Linked DNA regions of Drosophila melanogaster. The protein of the gene in region 2 interacts with the protein of the main gene of each other region in a pairwise test. Each region holds a gene or a part of one and is shown on either strand. Other genes may lie near its edges.

What was found. Proteins that work in one complex are often made in the same cells at the same time.
Region 1: the proteins of CG11349 (region 2) and CG6845 interact in a two-hybrid assay, tested with the Drosophila melanogaster proteins (one large-scale study listed by BioGRID).
Region 3: the proteins of CG11349 (region 2) and Spase25 interact in a two-hybrid assay, tested with the Drosophila melanogaster proteins (one large-scale study listed by BioGRID).

What each region holds. Positions count from the first base shown.
Region 1 is NT_037436.4:142,441-151,634, reverse strand, and holds CG6845 (uncharacterized protein), read right to left. Parts: upstream 5,203-9,194; 5' UTR 5,132-5,202; coding exon 4,929-5,131; intron 4,864-4,928; coding exon 4,553-4,863; exon of another isoform or gene 4,498-4,552; coding exon 4,237-4,497; intron 4,183-4,236; coding exon 3,969-4,182; exon of another isoform or gene 3,906-3,968; coding exon 3,752-3,905; intron 3,700-3,751; coding exon 3,222-3,699; intron 3,174-3,221; coding exon 2,990-3,173; intron 2,932-2,989; coding exon 2,794-2,931; intron 2,741-2,793; coding exon 2,665-2,740; 3' UTR 2,579-2,664; downstream 1-2,578. Other genes in the region: Dic61B (dynein intermediate chain at 61B), read left to right, coding at 1-1,286, 1,339-1,551, 1,617-1,827; Pdk1 (Phosphoinositide-dependent kinase 1), read right to left, coding at 7,815-8,120, 8,418-8,692, 8,756-9,194.
Region 2 is NT_037436.4:4,469,278-4,477,481, forward strand, and holds CG11349 (uncharacterized protein), read left to right. Parts: upstream 1-3,790; 5' UTR 3,791-3,799; coding exon 3,800-3,802; intron 3,803-3,860; coding exon 3,861-5,747; 3' UTR 5,748-5,818; downstream 5,819-8,204. Other genes in the region: CG32249 (uncharacterized protein), read left to right, coding at 730-732, 794-1,519; CG32248 (uncharacterized protein), read left to right, coding at 2,488-2,490, 2,562-3,107.
Region 3 is NC_004354.4:11,481,376-11,489,144, forward strand, and holds Spase25 (spase 25-subunit), read left to right. Parts: upstream 1-3,874; 5' UTR 3,875-4,017; coding exon 4,018-4,056; intron 4,057-4,185; coding exon 4,186-4,746; 3' UTR 4,747-5,191; downstream 5,192-7,769. Other genes in the region: Cyp4g15 (cytochrome P450 4g15), read left to right, coding at 150-838, 935-1,226, 1,323-1,486; Uba5 (Ubiquitin-like activating enzyme 5), read left to right, coding at 2,279-2,559, 2,671-3,604; CG33235 (uncharacterized protein), read right to left, coding at 5,394-7,769. UniProt on the Drosophila melanogaster protein: Component of the signal peptidase complex (SPC) which catalyzes the cleavage of N-terminal signal sequences from nascent proteins as they are translocated into the lumen of the endoplasmic reticulum.

The DNA.
Region 1 (9,194 bases), 4.3 Mb from region 2:
AAGGGATCGCCCGAGGGCGACGATGCGGAGCGAGACAACCGAAACTACGAGTATCTGACAATAGGGAAAGGCAAAATTCGCCGGCGCTCAGACAATGACGCTCAGACAGATACTCTGCTCTTCACCACTCGGGCAGTCAACACCATCCTCATAACCAAGGCCACCGTCAGCTCTTACGTTTCCAACTTTGAGATGTACGACACGCTGAACAATATCACCAAGGAGTTCGCAACAGCCACTATGAGTTCGGTAAAGGACCTGACCTCGGCTCTAGCGCAGACGGAGGATGCGGATACCTTTGAGGACGACGAGGCCGTTGCCGAAAAAGACAAGGTCAGCAGCCAGATAGAGCGCCTGTTCCGGAGCCCCGAGTTTCGCAACGCCATCATGTACATGGGCCGCACGCTCTCGAGCAACACAAACGAGGCGGGGTTACGACGCTTCCGTAACTTTGACCAGGTGGAACGCTGGAACGCGGAGGCCGAGTACGTCTACTCGATGAACTTGCTCTTTCGGCTGGTACCGGAGCCCAGCAAAGACGAGCGCAAGGCCGTAAGCGACATTGATTTCTGCCGCAGCAATGGTGACATCCTGGCTGTAGCCTACGGACTGTACTCATTTTCCTCACAGCACGTACCGACCTCCGGCAGCGTTTTCCTGTGGAGCATTAAAAATCCAGGCGAGCCGGAGCGCGCATACTACTACGATGTGCCAGTAACGGCAATAAACTTCTCGCCATTCTTGCCATCCTTGCTCGCCATTGGTCTGTACGACGGCAGCGTGGAAGTGCGAGATGTGAGCAGTTTGCAGGACACACCCGTTGCGGTCTCGCAGCGCAGCACTTCGCCAGGCTCCTCGCCGGTGGTTGCCATCCGCTGGATCAAACAAGTTTCAGACGACGATCATGAAACAGACATCGATCCATTCCTGAGCCTCTCCCAGGATGGCTCGGTCACCCGCTTCCGGATTATCAAAAGTCCCTTCCTGCTTGGTTTTACCCAAATGATTCTGGAGCGAGTCGAGGGGCATCCTGAGGGCATTTTCGTTCACCCATCGTCGCGTATCCCCTGCGAGTCTAACCGCCACCCGCAAGGCTTAAGCATCACTACACATCCTCTGCACAAGGACATTTACTACGTGCTGACAGATGAGGGCTGCATCCACAAGTGCTCAATCAATTATCAGCATCAGTACTTGGAAGTCCTGCGTTGTCACGACGGGGGTGTCACCGTAATGGAGTTCTCGCCTTGGTCTCCCAAACTCTTCCTCACCTGCGGCAACGATTGGTAGGAAGTGGCCCTCTATCAAGGGTAGCTAAAGATAGTATCTATTCTGCAGGTTCGTACGCATTTGGGTCGATGGCATCACGCGACCTCTTCTCGAACTGCTAGACGAGATGACCCCAGTGCATTGGGCCAAGTGGAGCCCCACCCACTCTACGATTATTGTGACGGTGAACCGGGAAACCGCTAACGTCTGGGACTTTCGCCGAAATTTGCTAAGACCCATGTCCAAGCACAAGATGGACTCTTCTTTTAATACTGTGGCCAGGTAAGCTTTTATTGCTTTCCGCAAAAATGGCCAATTGAATAGGAATTTCCTTTACCAATTCTTAGGTTTTCCCACTGTGGTCGCACATTGGTTATTGGCAACGAGCGCGGGAACACGCTCTTCAACGCCCTGAACGACATGCCCTTTTCGCCACACTTCCAATACGACGAGTTAGAGAAAGCCATTTTCAAGGCAATTGGCAACGACCACGAGCTTCTTATGGAGCTTAAAAGCATTGGTTTCTTTGGGTACCCAAACAAAAAAGCAGTTTTTTAGATAGGAAAAATGGTATTCTCAATAAAACAAAATAATTCGTCGGCCTGAAAGCGAATCTGGATGGCACTGATGAAATGTTCACGCATCAGCTATCTAAGAGACACAACGGCGATCGATCGAGTGTCAAACAAAACTACCCAATAGTAACTTGATATCATCCGAACGGACCGGGCATTACCTTGCACAAGCACAAAAATCCGTTCGAAAAGATGAGCTCCATTGTTTTTCGAGTGTGTGTGGTTGACTGTCAACGATGGTGGTCAAGTGGATAGGGGTCGATATAGGGTCTAGAGGGATCGGTGCAAGTCGACGGGTGTTATATAATAAATGCTCGTATAAGCTTGGTAAATGGAAGCCGCATGTGGGGGAAGAGCAGAATTTATTAAACAGTCGTAAAGAGAAAGTCAACAATAATGAGAAGATGTTCAACAGCACGTTACAGTCATAGCCCAAGAAGAAATAAAAATAGGTATCAAGCAAACAAGCCTTTGATAAAAAAGAAAAAATCGAAAACAGGGGTGAGAACAAGGTTATTTTCTGAATTGCTGTGTAGCCATTTGTCGCTGTAGTATTTAATTAAATAATAATTTCAGCCCAGAAGCTCGCCAAACAACGCAGTCCCCGTATTGCGACTTCCATGGGCGGTGAAGGGTAGGAATTGCACTGACATCAGATCAGCAATAACAAGAGTTATTTTTATTGAATAACTCACCTATAACCATATATTAAATTGTTGGAATATCAGGTATTTAATAGGTGGAAATATTATATTTCTGAGCTATCTGCATAACGTGTATGCGCTCACAACCTCTATGTTTAACTGTTTTTCCCTCGTTGCTAGCGTTGTCCTCCACAGGTCTTCCTGTACTGCCTTTCGCTAAAAGACTCTTTTTCAGAATAGTCCGAAGAGTCGCTGCACAAACAAAACCATTAAGAATAGTCGATTAAACCCTGGTTTTTACTCACTCTACTTCAGTAACGTCGGAAAAATCACCATAATCCACTGGTCGATTGCACAGACAACACTTATTGTGTGACTTTTCAAAGCATTTACCGCAATAAACCCCTTTGCATCCAGGAGTGTCGCAGGGGTTACGATTTGAACTAAAAAGGGGACATCCAACTGTAACCCGGAGTGTGTTTAACGATTGGAGTTACTTACAGAGTCAGAGATCGGCCACATATGGTGCACCTCTCAGTGCTTTGACAGGATGAGCAGCAGGAGCACATGCACATTAAACAGGAGAATCTATTGTTCAGCCAAGTGTAGTTTCTGGTGTGCTTCACATTCCGTGTGTGGTTAAACTCATTACGCTTTCTGCGGCGGATAAACTTAAAAATGCTTGCTGGAGAGAATACATTAGAACAACTTTAAAAGGTATGTACTTTCTTACTTCTATCTTCGGAAATCATGTTGTACAGAAACATGCCTCTTTCCTTGGCGCGTTTTGGATAAAAGTGGGCCATTATAAGATGGCGAGTACGCAAAATATACGGCTCGGCCAAAAGGATCAGCCAAGCGAGCAGACAGAGTAATAATATAATTAGATACTCCGCATAATCAGGTTTCACGGGCAGCGGGAGGCAAGGATTCACGTCTAAAATGCTTTTTTGCGTCAAGGGTCGAAAGGCATTAGCGATTCCCCGCATGACATCCGCCACAAAGCCCCCACCCTTAATCTCTAGATCGACGTAAGCGGGCACCTCCAGCCCAGTCTCTTGGTGGCCATGGAGGGATATAGTTGCCAACAGCCAGAACAGCCCGTAATCCAGAAAGCAAATCGCAAACAACTGCAAGCAGGTTGTGGCCATGAAACAGGCGTTCTCAACAATGGACACGAACTCAAACAAAGTCAAACGCAAGCTAGTAAGCTGCAATGAAATCATTGTAATATTATGTCAGGGAAACGTAGGGAAACCTTACCTTCATATACTTTGCCCTTTCAAGCTGATGAAGGGGTAGCAGTGGATCGTAACCGTGCTTTTCGTGCCGCCGGTCGATATCACTTAGTATCTTTGTCAAGAACACATTCTGAAATTGCCGGCTGTGCATATATCGAAGGTAGAAGATGGTGGCTCTGATGGGAACAATTGAGGCATCACCAACACTAAATTAATAAGATGATTAAGCTCTTGCCTACTTAAAAAATACAGTAACCACCATGACCCAGCAGAGAATGTCCACAAAGCTGCTCAAGAAGATAAACGACGACAGACGCTTGTTAATATCCTGTAAAATTTCCTCCCCCACGTCCGTCAGGCTCTTTGAAGAGTTTGTATCGAAGAAAAATTCGTGCTCAAAAGTGATATTGGCATCAAACATTTCCTCGATGTGCCGCACAAATTCACGGTAGCCTGCGAGATCGTATAACTAATAACCAAAGTACCGATCGTTGTTTACACTCTCACGTTCTGCGATTTTATCAAGAAGACCCCAGCTGAGATCCCAGTAACCGCTGCAAAACACATCGATGATCTTGGCTGGATAGCAGAGGGCCAGAAACAGCTTTGCAGCATGGCATAGCGCCTTGAATACGCCCATCTTTGACTGGCACCTGATCATTGCGTGATGCGCCGTCTTTTTGCAACGTGCCCAGGGAGTGCCCATTTCTGTGTTGCACAGGTCTACGATGGATTTCAGCCAAGCGGCGCAGTTCTTCAGGGTTTTAACTACAAAAATGAATCAGCAGAGAAAACTGCAGCACTTTTTAATACAGATACTCACTAATTGCGATCAATTGGTCCTGAATGCGTAACAGCACTACCATGGCCAGCTTGAGCACCCGACGCACTTCCCGCATCAAGAGATCCACCGCTAGCTGGATGGCATTCACCGGCTCCAGTATTACGTCCAACATCTGGCCAAGCGCCTGACGCAATAGCTCCTGTCCGCAAGCGAGGCTGCGGAGCATCACCTTCAAATTGGCTAGAATGTTCGCCGTAGGCCCAACTGCGGCAATAACAAAGGCAAGGCTGATGAGGAACGCCCTTCCCCGAGAGCTGCACAGCGAGGGAAGGGCCAAAGTCACAATGCACCTGGCAGCCAGTGAGGGAACACTGTTAGACACAAATCGTTTTGGGCTTTTTCAGGTAGTTCTTACCTTACGGGCCTGCTGTAAAAGACCGCCAGAACAAGCGCCACCGGAATCGCGAAGGTGAGATTAAGACCCAGAACCAAGTGGCCCAGCTGCCACCAGTTCCATGCGAGCGTTACCGCGAGGCCGCATAGGTAGCCGCCAATTACGTATGGTGCCACCAGCTTGAATGTCCACATAGCGCCATACCTTGGCTGACTTTCTTCCATGATTTTATTTTGATCGATTTCTTTGTAATTTATTTGTAAAGTCTAACACAACAGTCGGAATCGATATCGATATTTTCTCTTGGCGCCCCACTTAGTGTGACCAATTTAAATGTGAGTTTTCATTGTTATCGGAAATGTGACCCTTCTTAAAATCGAAAAGCCTATTGTTTGTTGTTTTTGGCTTATCCGATTCATTTTTGGCGCCCAAAAAGAATTTAAAACTTAACCGATTGCTTTTTCTGTTTTTCGCTTTTTTGTTCCTTTATTTCAAACAACATCATTTTTTCTCTTTCAAAATAACAGTTATTTTTGATTTATATATCTTATAAAGTTACGTCGTGTGATCTAAGCGAGTTTCGGATTTGAAATGCGTAAAACGCATCGCTGCATTCAAATCCAATATTAATACTATTCAACGAATCTATTTATTATAATATAATGAATAATAAAATAAAAATTATAAAAACATAAACATAAAATAAAATTATATGTAACTAAATAATAAGAAAATAAACAAAAAAATAATTTTTATTAATATTTTTCTCAAAATGATCAAGTTATTTTGGAGCTTCAGGTTTTTATACAATTATGATAAAAATAAATATATTAAATACTCGTACTGAAAGAATTCGCATACACTTGCCCCTGGTAAAATTGGAATACTTATTGATTAAAACATATGATGATTTTAGTATTCCACTAATCGTCCTACAGGTTTACCTATGCACTTTTCGATTTTATGGGTCTTTCCGTTATCTCCTCTTTTTTCTTTTTTCCTGTAGGCTATAAAAGGTAAAAAAGGCTTCTGGATTTGAAGCGCAATGCATTTGCAATTATTTTAATTAGGGCAAGCCCTTTTTGGATTGCAGAAATAGAGCTGTCTTTCTATATCTTAGCCCTGTTCACTGTACTCTTTCTTCGATTTTAGGTACTGCAGCACAAGCGTAGGGTAGAACAAAGTAGTCAGGTCGTTTTATGTGTATCTTACGTAGATTTTGAAACCTATTGAAATGTTGTATCATTTTGCAACGTTGGATACTGGGATACGCGCACTTATTACCCAATCAGTTAGATATTGCCAATTGTAATAACCAAACGAACCAAAATAAAAACAAATTTTATCGTAATTTTGTTACTTTGAAATGTTTTTGTATTTTTCTTTAATTTTTCCTGTTAATGATACGTTCCTTTCGCTCGATTATCTTTTTTTGTTTTACTCGTAATATATTTTTTATTTTTACATGCTTCTCTTTTTTGACATTCTTGTTCTGGTACTCATATATAGATAATATATAATTTGTTTAAATATTTATTTTACAGATTTCTCTCACTATCAGTGGCTCTCCGTTCTATGACATCGTTTAATAAATCGTAATTTTCGTTTAATTTAATTAATTGTATACTTATGTGTGTTGTTGCATATTGCGTTAATTTTAATTTACTTAGGTCGCCAAAAATAATTTACTTAAAAGTAACAAAAAATTAAATTATGTTTAGATGTATATCGACCAACGGCGATATGTATGTACAAAATGTATTTTTTGCTTTCTTTCAACTTCGACTCCTTACTCTACACCTCTGCTCATCACTTAATTACTGTAGCTTAAAGGTAAATATGGGAGGGGATGGGCGCGTTCTAGTAGTAGCAGTGGTAGCAACTTAGACATTTACAACATTTAACTAATTTGTTTCAAGAAACTTTGCAGTCTGTCTTACATCTATTACATATATCTTTGTATAAGACTTGTTTTACACACATTCAATTGGAGTCAGTTGGAGAGACAACGACCGCCAATCTTGACAATCTTTGAACGACTGTTGAGTTTTTAGTGGTAGCCCTTACAAAATAAAAATATAATTTAAAATTCGTTCTTTTATTAGGGTAGCTCAAGTCTTATACATTTCATTATAGGGCAAATAGGTAAACGAAAAGCATAATGAGAATGATAAATAATGATAATTAGCGTTAAACTGTATATTAGAATTACCTAAACAGTTGAGCGTGAAGCTGGAAAAACACCGATTTTGTGACATCGATGGTTTTCCGGCTCATTCCCATCTCCTTCCCCACGACTTAGGGTCTTTTTGCCGTGTGCATATAGCTCACATAGTTCTGTACATAGTTACACTGTTTACAAAATTTATATTAACATATATGTGATCTTCCCACGATAACAGAAACAAAAATTATTTCTCCGACGTACATACACATATTATGTATATTACAGTTTCCAGATAATTTCCTAGTATTATACCATTTAAATACGGATTTTAGTTTGCTTCACGAAATTACTTTTAATTTAAGCCTACAATGCCACCTTGCCTCCGTGTGTAATTCATTTCAATTGCGACTAACTACGCGCTAAATACGAATATATTTGTATTTATGTATGCTGTATATAAATATTTAATTTAAATTTTAAATTGAATTTACTTAGTCGTTATAGATGTATTTTACTTTAGATAAGTTTATTCTAGTGTTATATTTTCGCCCTAAGCACAATACAAATCGGAAAACAGAAATTTGGTTCTAATTAGCACTAGAGACACGATCATTATTTCCCCTTCATCACTTACTTCTACTTCTAAGCTTACTTCTATTCCCGCCCTCTTCTACGCCATCGCTTCGTTTGCACTAAATTTCAACTAAATTAATTTCACATTGCTATAAATAGGACTACGTTTACTTAGACGCCGTCTTCTTGCTAGGTGACGTCCCCGTTCTGGTGCTACCCAATGTCCGGTTGTCAGACGCCGTCGAAGCTTGAGGAGCGTTTACGGGGGAACTGCGTTTCACCGTGGGCGAATTGCTTGAGGAGGCGGCGGATGAATTTGAGATGACAGCCAGGCTATTACTGCTGCCGCTGGAGCAGGACACTGCAGATGTGGAGGAGGGATCTCCGTAGGCCAACTTGCGCATGTTCTCAATAGCTTCCGACCAGTGGATAGCATAGCCTTCGGGATCATCCAGGTAATAGGTTCGATTTGGCTGCAATGAAACCAAAAGAGTAAAATTAGTTGAGCGCAACGCTAATTTTAAACCCATTCACCAAACAAGTTTGAGTTTTTATCTGCCTTGCGTGTGCAGTTTTCAATGCCGCATTTAATTTGCTTTCATAGCCAACACGTGCCCGGGACATAAACTAACGCTCAAATTGCTTTTCAGTAGGCGTGTGACTGGCTACGAACTATAAGCTGTGATGTCATCGGTTCAACAAACTTATGCTTTCTCGGTTTTCCGAGTTGCGCCTCGTGCATCCTTATCCCACCATAGGTAAACACTTACCGTATGGACAAAAAAAATTTTGAAGTTTTTGTACTCCGCTCGGAGATCTGGGCTCCACGGAATTTCTCCTTTTTTGATCATCTGCACGGGATCGATATAGATGAGTCGCGGTCCCGTGGTCAGAAGGAGCATTCGCTTGCGGGCAAACAGACCCTTGCGCTTGTTGACAAACCCCTTCTTGAGGATCACTTCGCCGTCGGCAAAAACGTGCCACTTGTCAGTCTTTTGTTGCTCGAGACGCTGCAGCTTCTCGGCATCGTTCAGGTCGAAAGAGTCTGAAGAAAAACAATACATTCATTAGCCAACGTATTTTTCTGGGGCACCACGTGGACACTTACTCTTTGCGGTCGATCGCTTGACGGGCATGGCCACGCTGCTGCCAACGCCTAATTCTGCACTAAGCAGTCGCGATATCTGCCGTTCGTCAAGGCCAGGCTCCAAATCCCCGGGCACAGTATAGCTGGACCTGAAGTCCTCATCCTGACTTACGCCCGGTAAGTATGGGTAGATGGGGGGAGGGGTTTGTTGACGGAGCGTCTGCCAGTCAATGCCGGCGAAGAATGGGTGCGCCCGAATGGATTCGTAATATCCAAACTCGTCCTGAGCACCCAGGCGGTCTCGCGGATCGACACGGAGCAGCTTGCGCACCAGGTCCTCGGCGTCCTTATCAAAGCCTTGCGGGAAGTCCACGGCGCAGTCAAGAATCTCTTTAAAAATGACATAATCGTTGCTGCCACGGAATGGCGGTAGGCCGGCGATCATCTGATAAACTATACA
Region 2 (8,204 bases):
TACTGTCTGAAATAAGTGGGTATACTAGGTTAGATGAACAGTACGTAACACTAGAAGTCTGCTCAATGAAATATGTACGCTCTTAATTAGGAGGACTAGGACCAGGGCAGAATCTGACTGTGCTAAGGAACGTCAAAATGTGTTAATAGTATTTTGTTTAGGTCAGCAATAACAATAATAATAAAAATTTAGTTCGTACCCATTACTCGGGCACTGAACCGGTATGGGAATACGTATGAATCATCTATCCAAAACAGTACTATGACCATACATCGAAACAAACTGAATCCCTAATCCAATTATCCCTTAGATGGAATCTTTATGCGTTTATTAGAAACTCAAATTAATAAAAATACGCATTTCAAATTGCGTCTTATTAATTAACTCATAGTATTGCAGAAAAGTGAAAGTATTTACCAAACCAGATTTATGGACTTGGCGAGCTACTTTTATTTAAATATTTTAACTCAAATTGATGCGAGCAATTGTTTTATGGCTGACATGGAACCTGCGTCTGGACTACTGCTTTTATTTATGGTTCGCAGTCGTAACCGCATTTCGCCAGACGACTGCAATCAGAATGACAATACCGATACATATGCAAAAGATATACCAGCTGAATGTTATTAGATATACTATATATTTGGGGTTCTGCCCAAATTGTCTTATAAATACCAAATGTTCTGCTCGCAAAAAAACAGTTTAATTGTTCGACTTTGTGTGATCAACATGGTGGGTTTCAATCGGATTGGATTTAATAATTGTGAGATTAATGGAAAATTTTTCTGCCCAGCGTGTCCTCTTCTTGCCTTTCGCAGTGGCTCTCTTGGGAGTGGTCGGTGCCACTTCTCTATCCAGGACCTATTTGCCGCCTCAGGTGCAGGTGGTGCAACCCCAGGTGATCTCTGTTCCCAGGGTTCAAGTTCAACCCCAGATCATCGAGCGTCAGGTGGTTCCCGCCCCTCTGGTGGTGCCACAAGTGGTTCCCGTTTATCGTCCGTCGCCAGTGGTGCAGATAGCTCGTCCTGCTCCCCAAGTGATCTCCGTGGCTGCGCCTCGTAACACCTATCTGCCACCCCAAGTGATTAGTCGCCCCGCTCCACAGGTGGTGTCCATTGCGCGTCCCGCTCCACAGGTGGTGTCCATTGCGCGTCCCGCTCCGCAGGTGGTGTCCATTGCTCGTCCTGCTCCACAGGTGGTGTCCATTGCTCGTCCTGCTCCACAGGTGGTGTCCATTGCTCGTCCCGCTCCAGAGGTGGTGTCCATTGCGCGTCCTGCTCCAGAGGTAGTGTCCATTGCGCGTCCCGCTCCGCAGGTGGTGTCCATTGCTCGTCCTGCTCCACAGGTGGTGTCCATTGCTCGTCCTGCTCCACAGGTGGTGTCCATTGTTCGTCCTGCTCCACAGGTGGTGTCCATTGCTCGTCCTGCTCCGCAAGTGATCTCGGTGGCTGCTCCGCGCAATACCTACCTGCCGCCACAAGTCATCGCTCCTCGTAACACCTACCTGCCGCCCCAGTAAGATGCCTCATCATCCGAAACAACATTTCTGAGCAACCACCAACTCAACTGGTTTGTGGTTTAACCCACAACACCAACTATATTCGAATGCTAATTCACCATCTTGGCAAAGAAATGCAAAAATACATTTAATAGGTTTATTTGTGTGTCTGACTTGATACGATTAGCATATTCTCGAATTAGCGCAAAAGAGACAATAAAGAAAGCTCAGAAAGATAAACAATAACATTGTTTAGACTCGAGACCATTGGAGGGCGTCAATACAGATCAGATAACGTGATTATGCAAAAAAGGGCACCATATGCCATTAACCCCAAGAGGAAATGTTTAAGATACCTAATACCTTGGGAGTCGCGATCTTGAGGCTTCTCTGAACAATTAATCAATCAGTCCATCAATCGAGTTAGCGGAACATTAAGTCATTAGCCTGAGCAATTTGTTTGCTTTAAGTGGATAAGGTATACGGCTGACTAGATAGTTTATGACCGGCTAATTGCTATACTTCTTGTTCTGGATCGATTTAAAAATAGCTCTCTGCTACTGTTTCTATTAACCCAATATCGGGTTTAGTCTTAGCAAAAGCTTGGGTGAATTAAAAAAGCTCTTCTTCAAGACGAAACCAAACTATCAGGTTTGCGATAAAATTGTTTTGGCAAAAAAATTAAGCTGTGATACGTGTATTCTTATGAATATTTATATTTAATATGACAGCAAAAAAATGAGAGTTTTAAATCCAAACTCCATGGCGTACCTAACTGATAAAAACAAGCCCCATATGGCGTCGTGGTCGAGGTATCTGTTTGCCCAATTAAACAAATTTTTCGACGCGAAGAAAAACGTTTCGTTGATTTATGATACTCAGCACTTCCGTTTGGATCCGCAGATTCTCCGACTTGTATAAAAGTACAGGAGTCGCCGGTCTAAGATATTATTCGGTTCGTTGCTCCTAAAGCAAACAGATCATCTAAAATGGTAAGGATCTCCCATCTGTATTGCGGATTATATTAGTTGGCATATTATTCTATTTCGATTTTTCCCTGTAGAAATTCTTTATCTTGACCTTGGCCGTGGTTGGCTGTGTGGCCGCCGAATCTGGCTACAACTACAATGCTCCCCGCCAGGTAGCCGCCTCTGCCCCGGCTCCTGTTTTCCAGCAAGCTGCCTCTGCTCCGGCTCCAGTGAGGACCTACGTGCCCCCAGCTCCAGCTGCCTCTGCCCCAGTGCAGTCGTTTGCCCCTGCCCCAGCTCCAGTAGCTGCTCCTGCTCCCGTTTTCCAGCAGGCCGCCTCTGCACCCGCACCAGCCCGCACATACGTGCCTCCCGCTCCCCATGTCCACCACCATGCCGCCGCCTCAGCTCCAGCTCCCGTTCAGTCCTTTGCTCCTGCTCCAGCTCCCGCCCCCGCCCCCGTGCAGTCCTTCGCCTCTGCTCCAGCTCCTGCTTTCGAGTCCTCCGGACCGGTGTTCGAGGCCGCAGCTTCCGCCCCCTCTGCCGCCCGCTCCGGATACGATTATAGCCAGCCCGCCGCCAGCCAGCAGGGATACAAGTACAAGACCGTCCGTCGCCGTGTGTTCAAGCACCGCGCTTAAACGATGATGATGATACGATAAAATGCGACAATAAAAAACTCGAATATTAAATTTATAAAAACATAGTTTTATTTGAGCATTAAAACACTAATAAAGATAATATGATAATTTGATAATTAAACAAGAATGATATGGTGTATAGTTTTAGCAAAAGAAGCGCGCAAAAAAAAAAACTATAAAACCTAAAACAACATTTCAAAAGTGCTAAAATTCTTGCTAGAAAAGAAAAAAAAAATCGCAAAATTAAATTTTATTAATAATTGTTAGTTAGTACTGGAGTGCAGTTTTTCTTATCCATAACTAACAATCAGTTGTTAATGATAAATTAGTTTGAAGCTTCAATTGTATTACTAGGCCAAATTCACACCTGGAAACGAAGTTCAAAGAACCCATGCGTTATCGCATAAGTGTGCAGCGCACTTGGGCCAATAAATTTAAACGCTTTGATCTGACAAATTTACGGGACACTTTCGTTGTGCTTCAGAATATTCAATAGAATTTAAATTGGCGGCTATTCAATAAGAACAAATGGGTCACATAAAGCGCGGAATCGATTTCTCACGCTCGGCAACAGGTTTCGCTTTCAACTGTGGTCTTTTTTGGGGGCTCGATGTGGGGATGCAACAAAAAAGATCCCGAAGAGAGTATATAAGTTGCATCTACAGCTGCTTACAGTCACTGGCACTTTAGCAATGGTAACGGATCAACGATAGGTTCTAGGTTCCGCATTTCACCAATCCATTTTTATTTTAGAATGTCCTCGTGATCCTGGTTCTATGCCTTATGGCAATCGCATGTCTGGCGGACGTTTCCCATGTGAAACACCACAAGCACCAGCGGCATCATCACTCCAGGGATCACGAAGATGACGATGAGGAGTCCCATTACCTACCTCCCCACGAGGAAAAGGAGGTGGAGCAACCTTTTTACAAGAAGGAGAAGCACACCAGTGAAAAGGTGGTTTACCACAAGGTAGAGGAGCACGAGGAGCCCAAATACTACAAGGAGCATCAACATGAAGAGCCCAAAAAGCAGCGAGTGGATCACTACCATCACTATGACAAGAAGCCAGAAGTAAAGACCCAGCACATTCACTACAAGCATAGCAAGCCCCATGTCCGTACGGATTACAATCAGGACTTGTTCACCCCAGCTGCTACCCAAGTGGTTTATCGCCGCCGTCGTCCTAGTCGAATTCTATACGCCAGTGCCCCCAACTCGGTGTTCCACACCCACACGCAGATCAACGTGCAGTCCCAGGATTCGGAATTGAATTCCCTTACTCGCCCAGATCGTGCAGCAGGAGCACAGGATCCTGCTGGGGCTCAAGCACCGACTGGAGCCCAGGCACCAGGATTTCGACCCAACTGCCAGTTTGTTGGACCTGGAAACGTACCACCTGGCTGTGGACCCTCTGATCCCATAGGTGCTCAGCTACCAGCCAGTGCTTTGGCTCCCACTGGTGCTAATCTTCCGGCCAATCAACCTGTTGCCGGCGGACAATTGGCTGTTCTGGGTAACGGTCAGCGACCTCCACGTCCAGGTGGCTATGGAGGTGGATATGGCAACCGACTCAACTTTTTTGTTGATCCTTCGCTGGGCGCTCAGCTGGGAGCCATAGGTAATGCTGGAGCTGGAAATCAACAGGCTGCCGGAGGAGGTCAGCTTGCGGGAGGAGCTCAACTTGGAGGGAGCCAAGGATTCGACCCTTCCTTTGGTGCCCAAGCAGCTGCCGGAGGACCATTTAACACTGGTTTTGGAGCTGGTCAAAGACCTCAAAGACCTGCGCAAAACCAATATGATCCCAACCTTCAGCTAGGTGGCCCTTTTGACCCCTCCGTGGGTGCTCAATTGGGCGCAGGTCAGGGTGTTTCTAACCAAAGACCAAGTGGACAGGGAGCATTTGATCCTTCTACAGGTGCTCAATTGGGCGCAGGTGAGGGTGTTTCTAACCAAAGACCAAGTGGACAGGGAGCATTTGATCCTTCTACGGGTGCTCAATTGGGTGCAGGTCAGGGCTTTAACCAGAGACCAAGTGCACAGGGAGCATTTGATCCTTCGACAGGTGCCCAACTTGGAGCTGGACAAGGCGTGCCTAACCAGCGACCCAATGCAGCTGGACCAGGAGCTTTTGATCCCAATCAGCGACAGTCCGACCCCTCCATTGGAGCCCAATTGGCAGCGGGACAAGTACCACGCCTCAACAACCGACGACAGCGCAATCGATCCAACTACCAGGGTCTCAATGTGCTGAATGGAAACGTTTTCGGACAACCCCATCTCCAGGGACCCACAAATGCGCTGGGAAATCAACAGGACACCAACATCATAGACGGCAACTTCTACAGCGATCCTCATCATGGACACCAGCGGGCTTTGGTATCGGTTAATCCTAATCAGCGTTCAGTCCTTATACCCGATGACGATGATGCGGACGATGATGGGCAGCTAGGATTTCTGGGCTTTGCGGCTAGTAACAAGCAGTCCTCTTATGTGGTTGCTCCCAAACAACTGCGATCTCATAGGCGCAGTTCAAAGCGAAACAATGTGGATCTTAAAACATCTGCTTCGGAGTACGACACTGACTATCGTGAGGATGGCTATCACTACCAGAAGCCCAAACAGTCATTCGAGTTTTAAGTATTTTAAAACAGAACATATTATAACATAAATTAAATCATACTTATCAGCATTTGCTACAAGAGCATACCAAACAAACCTTGATTACTTATTTAAAGCATACTTTCAGGCGAAAACTATGGCGGCTACTTCCGTTTCCGCTCAAGGTAGCTTTAAAGTTTGTTGAGAAATCGACACGGGTTTTCAAGCTGAGCTTTATAAATTGAGCTTTTGATTAAGCTTTACACCAGACTACAAATATCTATATTGCACATAAAAATATCCAGATATTTACCAACTATGTATATTTGATTTTTTTGTTTGCCTTTAAATTACATACATTAACATAAATATACACGTGCAAATAGATTAGGGCATTTATGTTCTGGCCATATCTGCGATTGCCTTTGATGGAAAAGGTGTATATATTGTCCATTAGGGTACGCGGAAAGGAAACTAGTTCAGAGCTATATAGAAATAGAGGCACAAAGACATTTTTTTTATAGTGAGAGAGGCAAAATGAATTGTCGACATAAATTTATGCAATCATTTAGATTCGATTCTCATGCAAATCCAATCAACTGAAATCAAAATAGAAATAAAACAAAATCTATTGTTTCACCAGGCAGCATATCTTGGCCAGTCGACTGCATAGAGGTGAGCTGCCCAAAACACATTCATTGGATCCGTTTTTGGCCCACCTCATTTGTGACCTATGGATAAAAGGCTGCGTGTATGTTATGTTTTTGTTATGATTATTTTTTACTCAGACTGAGGCGGGCCTTAGTAATGTTTAAATTCGGCAATCAATGTCAATATTAGCGAGTGGACTCCTAAATCAAATGTGGGCAGTCCACTGCCGGCATGTGCGTCTGTTTTTTGGCCAACTGTAGGTCAGAGAGGATTAGCCTTAGCCCATCTCGTCGGCTCGTGACCCAATGCACCGACCCATAGAAACCTATTAGCTGATCCCCATAAATCAGCGCACTTCTCCTGGTGAAATTGGCAAGCTTAAGAGAGTCAAATGACCGCAGCAGGGCCTTCAAAAAAATGTCTACAAGTAGCATTAAATTAAAATAATTTATGGCAAACTTTCGGATCAAACTCTACGGAGGAGCTCGGCTCGGCATAAAATTAACGGAGACCGTTAAAAGCCCGCTGATTACAGAAATAAATTTCGGATGATGTCTGTGCGAATTTCGCGGGCTTGTGGCTATGCAAAGCGAGTGAGTGGGTTCAAAGTGGGGCTGCTGGAGTTCAATGATCCGGTGCCACCCGCCTCTTTGGCAATTATTGCTATCAAACATTATGAACCATAATTTTTAGGCTTTCCCGAAGCACTGCGCAAAATCAGAACTGAGAATTTTCAGAACAGTATTAATTTTTCAATTTAAATTGTTCTACTAAATAAGAATCGAACAATTTTAATCACTAAGGCAGTGAAATATAATTCAATTAATCAATTAATTTAATTATAATCAAAAGTCATTTATGTATGAAATATATCGAATGTACTCTGATTTCTTTAGGTGTATTTATTATTTAATGACTTTCCAGATGGCCAACATAGAGCTACAACTCTGTACTGAAAGGGTTCTGAGTTTCGGGATCATAACTAATCCGATCTCATGTAACTCCGCCTTGCGTCATCCGTTAAACATAGCCTAAAAAAATCGACGAGCATTCGATGCTCGGATGATTAATTTTCAGCACTTGGCAGCCACATAATTAATTTTAGACAGCCCACAACCGAGAATACATATTCAAGAACGATCGCACTTTATTTTCTATCAGCCATCAAACAGAAAGCCCCTCGATGAGCCGCAGGCAGCCCCAAAATAAGAATCGAATTAGAATCAGAATCAGAATTACATGAAAGGAACTTGCCAAATTTCGGCTGCCACGCGTTTCCATTATTTATTGGCCACGAGCCGAGTGTTAAAAGTGTGCGGAATTTTATTTTTCATCTTTTTTGTTGCCCTGTTGCTTGGCGTTGATTTTTGTATATTTATAATTTAGCTCTTTTCGGATTTGTTTTGTTTTTTTTTTTTTAGAGCTCTGGAGATGCGCTTCATGACGGTGGTGGCACTTTCTAGTCGCCGGCTCCGAAGAGTGGGGCGATTTGAAAACGGGTTTCCAGAATGATTTATCATATATTTTAGTTAAACGAAAAAAGAGCATAACAGGCTAAAAGAACGTTAAGTTTATCGTAAAAGACTAAAACGTGTACTTGGCTAGTGAGTGTTAGAGTCTTTTGAAACAGACTTTCTTTTACGCTGTAAAAAAAGCAACAGACTATATTTTATTTGATAAATTTTGATGGAGAGCAGAAACATGTAAAGAAATTGTTCTAAAATTTAATTAAGATAAATACAAATAAAAGAAACATAAACTGTTAATAAATACCTTTACTTCCCAGCCAACTAACCTTGTAATATGTAATATAATTTTGATAATAATACGATGCCCTTACCATAT
Region 3 (7,769 bases), on a different chromosome or scaffold from region 2:
CTGCACTGAAAGGAAAAGTACGATTCGAATGTGATGGGATATTGAGGTTATACTTATACTTCCTTTTAGTTATTATTTAATATAATCACAATCTAAACCTACTTGTATAAATACACACCTTTCTGGGTGCTACATTTTGGCAATTCCAGAGACTGCGATGGGTGTGTCGAAGAAAACGCAGGACAAATCGGGATTCGAGTATGCGATGGCCGTGATGCGGATGTGCGACATCCTTCACGCCCGCCATCGGAGCATCTTTCTGCGCAACGAGTTCGTGTTCACCCTGACGCGCTACTACAAGGAGCAGGGTCGCCTGCTGAACATCATCCACGGCCTGACCACCAAGGTGATCCGCAGCAAGAAGGCGGCCTTTGAGCAGGGCACCCGTGGATCCCTTGCCCAGTGCGAGCTGAAGGCAGCCGCCTTAGAGCGGGAACGGGAACAGAATGGTGGTGTTGACCAGACCCCATCAACAGCTGGCAGCGATGAGAAGGATCGGGAGAAGGATAAGGAGAAGGCCAGTCCGGTGGCGGGACTGTCCTATGGACAGTCGGCTGGTCTCAAGGATGACCTGGATGTGGAGGACAATGATATTGGTGAGAAGAAGCGGCTGGCCTTCCTTGATTTGATGCTCGAAAGTGCACAGAATGGAGCACTCATTACGGACACGGAAATTAAGGAGCAGGTGGACACGATCATGTTCGAGGGACACGACACCACGGCAGCCGGCTCCTCGTTCTTTCTCTCGCTGATGGGCATCCACCAGGACATCCAGGATCGCGTACTGGCCGAACTCGACTCCATTTTTGGCGACTCCCAGCGACCGGCCACATTTCAGGTGGGTAACTAATGCCGCACACATCACCATAGTTAGTTAGTTATATTCTTGAATGTTGAACGTTAACCGCTTAAAATGTCCGCATTCCGATTGCAGGACACACTGGAGATGAAGTATCTGGAGCGGTGTCTGATGGAGACGCTGCGCATGTACCCACCCGTTCCATTGATCGCCCGCGAGCTGCAGGAGGATCTCAAGCTGAACTCGGGCAACTACGTGATTCCCAGGGGCGCCACGGTGACGGTGGCCACCGTCCTGCTCCATCGCAATCCGAAGGTCTACGCCAATCCCAACGTCTTCGATCCGGACAACTTCCTGCCGGAGCGCCAGGCCAATCGCCACTACTACGCCTTTGTGCCGTTCTCTGCGGGACCACGCAGCTGTGTGGGTGAGTTGCAGATATAACACTGAAGCAAATTATGTGAATATTCGGATCGTCTATATGAATAATGTTTTGTTTCATTTATTATAATTATTTTTTTAGGGCGCAAGTATGCGATGCTCAAGCTGAAGATCCTACTGTCGACCATTTTGCGGAACTACCGTGTCTACTCGGACCTGACCGAATCGGACTTCAAACTGCAGGCGGACATCATCCTAAAGCGTGAGGAGGGATTCCGCGTGCGCCTCCAGCCGCGGACCAGTTGAACCCCGGTGGCCGCGACGAACATCAGCTAGGCGAACCAGGTGGACCAGGTGGAGCGGGTGGGGCAGGCGGAACAGGCGGGCAGCACACCATACACCGTACACCGCAAACAATAAGCTACACAGAACGGACACTTATCCATACATATAACTCCACTTGTTGGCAAGTGATAGTCACCGGTTTATACAGTAATATTGATAATATTAAATAATAATAAACGTGCTCCCACACTCGATTTATTGAATAGTATAATGATTATTTTTTTGACGCATTTAACACAAAAAGCAACCACAACTATCGTCATCTTCCTTTAATTGTTCTACTCCTCTTTTTTTTTTTTGGTTATTTAATAATTATAATACCTATTTGTGTGTAATGATTTTGACAATAAATCTTTTGTGTAATTATACAAATGGATTTTAGTGGGAAATTTAAATGTTTTCATACAGCAAATGGAGTTGACAGCCATTTGGTTGCTGTTATTACTCGTCTTCTATTTTATGCGTCTTAAAATTCAAATATGCGCGCCATTCGTAGCATTAACCAACACTGTACCAGCTGGCAATGTAAATTGGTATATTTTTGGTATATAACTATCGACCCTCGGCCATCACTAACATGCAGCGTTGCCCCATCCCATCTAACGCAAGTACCAAACTAATTTGGCCATCTGGCAGCACTGGTCAAAAGTGACACGGCGACAACCAGCTTAAAAGCGAAAGTTAACAATTAACAATTGCTGGCGTCCATAGCCAAACACACGAGCCAGAAACTGGAGCCACCCCAAAGCCAGAATGTCGCACGCCATCGACGAACTGCAGGCGATCATCGCCGATCTGAAGACGGAGCTGGAGACGGAGCCGAAATCCAGTGGCGGCGTCGCTAGCAACAGCCGCCTGGCACGCGATCGCATCGATCGCATGTCCGCCGAGGTGGTGGACTCCAATCCGTACAGCCGCCTGATGGCCCTGCAGCGGATGAACATCGTCAAGGACTACGAGCGCATTCGCTACAAGGCGGTGGCCATTGTGGGCGTGGGCGGCGTGGGAAGCGTCACCGCCGACATGCTTACACGGTGCGTGCACAACAAGAAGAGAAGGGCAACAGTCATTGTGCACCACAGCTAGCACTCCAAATATGTTGTCTTTAATTAAAGGCTATGTATTAATCAATTGATTTCCTGCAGCTGCGGCATTGGCAAACTGATACTCTTCGACTACGACAAAGTGGAGCTGGCCAACATGAACAGACTGTTCTTTACGCCCGATCAGGCGGGCCTCTCCAAAGTTGCGGCCGCCGCCGCTACCCTGAGCTTTATCAATCCGGACGTGGAGATTGAGACGCACAACTACAATATTACAACGGTGGAGAACTTTGATCGCTTCCTGGACACAATATCGCAGGGCGGACGGATAGCTGGCCAGCCGGTGGATCTGGTGCTCAGCTGTGTGGACAATTTTGAGGCACGAATGGCAATCAATGCAGCGTGCAATGAACGCAATCTCAACTGGTTTGAGTCGGGAGTTTCGGAAAATGCCGTCTCGGGGCACATTCAGTTTATCCGTCCTGGCGATACCGCCTGTTTCGCTTGTGCACCACCCTTGGTGGTGGCCGAGAACATCGACGAGAAGACGCTGAAGAGAGAGGGCGTGTGCGCCGCTTCATTGCCCACAACTATGGGCATTACGGCTGGCTTCCTTGTCCAGAACGCATTAAAGTATCTGCTGAATTTCGGCGAGGTCTCTGACTATCTGGGCTACAATGCCCTTAGCGACTTCTTTCCCAAGATGACGCTCAAACCGAATCCGCAGTGCGATGACAGAAACTGTTTAGTTCGGCAAAAAGAGTTCCAAGCCAGGCCCAAACCTGTGCTGATCGAAGAGAAGGCAGTCAGCGAAGAGCCGCTGCATGCCACCAACGAATGGGGCATCGAACTGGTCGCCGAGGATGCGCCAGAAAGTAATACAACGCCCGCCGAAACCCCAGTGATGGGTGAAGGGCTGAGGCTCGCCTACGAGGCTCCTGAGAAGTCCAGCGAAACGTCAGAGGAAACTGTATCTGCAGCTACCGCGGACGAAACCAGTCTGGAAGACCTGATGGCGCAAATGAAGTCCATGTAAATTGATTCCGTACTCCGTATTTATAGACACTTTTTGTAAAACACACACTTTTTTTTTGATAAACTCAGCTTCGATTTGTGTAAAACTTGGGCCGAGCCATTTTTTATTTATTTATATATAGTAACTTTTAGTCACTTGATTAAATGCTTTATGCTCAAAATTATTTGAATTACGCGGGAAATTTCAATTCTTGCAGTTTCTAGTATTTCAGTATTTTAAGCTTCCCCTATCTGGCAGCACGGTCAACTAGTCCGTTATCGATTGGCAGCGATAACGATTGACAATTTTGTTGTCGCGTTGTCACACAAAAACGAAGAAAACTCCTGAAAAAAGAAAAAAGAGTTTTTCTGAGCATTTCGCAAACTTCTCTTGGAAATCAAGGGCATCAAAACACAATAGAGAGCAGATAGAAGATGGGCAAGAAGGATGAAAAGTCACAGCAAGGCGAGGAGGTGAGTAAACCGGTTGCCGGCTTGGCATTTGGTCCATTAAGATGTGTTCCACGTCATTGTAGAATGTAAATGTAAACTAAGTGAATATGTGCATAAACTAACTCCATCCTGTTTCATGTGCCCTGCCAGCTGGTGAAGGTCAACAAGTGGGATGGATCCGCAGTGAAGCACGCCCTCGATGATGCAGTGAAAACCTGCCTCCTTGGCGATCGTCCCCAGCTGAAGGAGCAATTCGGCCTGGTCAACACCCGTTTGGCCCTCTGCGCCCTCGCCGTTTCCGTGGCTATAATGGCCCATGCTTGGGACTTCACCCACCCCTTCCCGGAATCCCGTCCAGTGCTCCTCTTCAGTGTTTTGGCCTACTTTGCACTCCTCGGCATTCTGACCCTGCACTCCAGTTTCCGCGAGAAGGGCACCTTTGCGGTGGCCCTGCAGAAGGACAAGGAGCGGGAGCGCCTGTGGGAGGCCAGCTCCGATATGCGCAAGTACGACGACAAGTACCTGCTGACCCTCAGTGTTCGCGACACGAAAAATGGCAAGCGGCGCGAGCAGAGCAGCAACAAGTCGTGCGCCGCCTTCATCGATCAGAATGGCATCGTCCTGGACAACCTGGTGGCCAACGAGGTCAACCGTCTGTTCAACGCCTTAGCTGCCGACAAGAAGAACGCTAGCAGCCTTTCTTCTAATTAAACCAAATTCCCCACTTTTGTCTCATTAAATTGTACACTTTTGTGGTAAGCCGACTGTTTGTCTTTTGTAATAAGCGGAAAAACTATAATATAAAATGAATTCTTTGATTTACAGCTTAACATAAATTGTCTGAATCTGATAGAAACTTAACCAATGATTTGTGGACTATTTTATTATAATTTCATGGGTTCAGCTGCAAAAATCTAAAAGTTAAGAGGGCGGGGATTCCGGTGGCGGCAGAGGAAGAGGAGAGGGTGCCCAAACTGGAACTGGCGGCGATGGGGAAACCCATATTGCGCTGATAAGGCCATTGATATTAATTCCATATTTAACCTGGCTGCCTTCCCAGAAGTTAAACATCAAAATTGGGAGTTGTCGATGTCAAAACGTTTATATATATATATCAATGTTTTTATATTCCAAAAGCTCATATTTGTGACATACTAAAGATTTTGGCTACAAGAGAGTAATGTACGTAATGTAAAGTCTATATGTACGACTAACTCATGTGTTTTTAAAAGATTATTCTATTTGTTATTATATTTATTCACAATGTGGAGATGTCCCAATCCAAGTGTACCCAGAAATCCGAGTGTTTTTGACCTTCTTCCTGCGGCGCTCCGGCTTCCTTTGTCATCATCATCTTTTTATTTTTTCAGATATCTGTATGGGGCACTACGGTTCCTTTTCCCATTTCCCATTACCATCTTCTCTTTAATTTCTACATATTTCTTATGTCTTTCCAAAGCCTCAATTTCTGACATCTTCTGGGCCATTTTCTTTTTCATAATCATCTGCTTTTCTAACACCTTTGCTGCCATTGTATCCTTGGCCGTCTTTAGAGCCTCCAATTTTCCCTTAGCAATCTTTAGTGTCTTCCCGCATTGCCGGTCCTTCGACTTCTTTTTTTGCACTTTCCCCTTGGCCATCTTCGGCTTTTGCAAGTTTAGCTTTTCCTCTTTCTTATTTTTCTCAAGGACTTGCTTTGATGTCTTTCGCCATTCATCAATTTTCTCCTTTTCCATTTCCTTCCTTTCCATCTCCTCTACCATGTCCAGCTGCTCCTGCGTCTCCAGCAGCTCCTTCACCACTTTGCTCTCATCTTCCTGTGGCGACACTTCGGCTAGGGTAGGGTTAGCCACCTCTGCTTTGGTTTTCTTTTTCTCTAAAAACTTACGAGCCCATTCCTTTCCTCCATAAGGATAGTCATTATCCTTTTTATCTGCCAGAACAGGAGCCCATGGCTTCGGCGTGGTAGGACCGACAGCCTCGGTGTGGGCACGTTTTGATGGAGAGACCATGTCATTCATCAATGTTAACTTTCTTTTTGAGCTTGGAATCTTTATCTCATCTTTGCAGAGATTGGCATCACCGCTGGTATCACTGCTGTCCGAGCCTAGAATTATTAATTCATCTTTGTTGCTATTGACAACTAAGCGCTGGGCACCGAATCTGTTGCCTTGATTACGCTGGCTTAGCAAATTGTCCACATCCACTTCCTCCAGGACGCTCTTATTATTGGAGTTACGATTCACTGGCTCCGGCAAGGAGGCCCCGATATGAGATTTCTTTTCCTCTCCGGGTGGAATAATGTCCTTCGTCAAAGTGAAATTCCTTTTCGAGCTTGGAATCATTTTCTCATCTTTGCTACCTTGATTACGCTGGCCTTGCAAATCCAGGACACTCTTATTATTGGAATTACGATTCACTGGCTCCGGCAAGGAGGCCCCGATATGAGATTTCTTTCCCTCTCCGGGTGGAATAATGTCCTTCGTCAAAAAGAAATTCCTCTTAGAGCTTGGAATCATTTTCTCCTCTTTGCTGGTATCACTGGTGTCCGAGCTTAGAATTGTTAATTCATCTTTGTTGCTATTGACGCCTTGATTACGTTGGCCTAGCAAATCCAGGACGCTCTTATTATTGGAATTACGACCCACTGGCTCTGGCAAGGTGGCGCCGAAAGGAGATTTCTTCCCCTCTCCGGGTGGAATAATGTCCTTCGTCAAAGTGAAATTCCTTTTCGAGCTTGGAATCATTTTCTCATCTTTGCTACCTTGATTACGCTGGCCTTGCAAATCCAGGACACTCTTATTATTGGAATTACGATTCACTGGCTCCGGCAAGGAGGCCCCGATATGAGATTTCTTTCCCTCTCCGGGTGGAATATTGTCCTTCGTCAAAAAGAAATTCCTCTTAGAGCTTGGAATCATTTTCTCCTCTTTGCTGGTATCACTGGTGTCCGAGCTTAGAATTGTTAATTCATCTTTGTTGCTATTGACGCCTTGATTACGTTGGCCTAGCAAATCCAGGACGCTCTTATTATTGGAATTACGACCCACTGGCTCTGGCAAGGTGGCGCCGAAAGGAGATTTCTTCCCCTCTCCGGGTGGAATAATGTCCTTCGTCAAAGTGAAATTCCTTTTCGAGCTTGGAATCATTTTCTCATCTTTGCTACCTTGATTACGCTGGCCTTGCAAATCCAGGACACTCTTATTATTGGAATTACGATTCACTGGCTCCGGCAAGGAGGCCCCGATATGAGATTTCTTTCCCTCTCCGGGTGGAATATTGTCCTTCGTCAAAAAGAAATTCCTCTTAGAGCTTGGAATCATTTTCTCCTCTTTGCTGGTATCACTGGTGTCCGAGCTTAGAATTGTTAATTCATCTTTGTTGCTATTGACGCCTTGATTACGTTGGCCTAGCAAATCCAGGACACTCTTACTATTGGAATTACGATTCACTGGCTCCGGCAAGGAGGCCCCGATATGAGACTTCTTTCCCTCTCCGGGTGGAATAATGTCCTTCGTCAAAGTGAAATTCCTTTTCGAGCTTGGAATCATTTTCTCATCTTTGCTACCTTGATTACGCTGGCCTTGCAAATCCAGGACACTCTTATTATTGGAAGTACGATCCACTGGCTCCGGCAAGGAGGCCCCGATATGAGATTTCTTTCCCTCTCCGGGTGGAATATTGTCCTTCGTCAAAAAGAAATTCCTCTTAGAGCTTGGAATCATTTTCTCCTC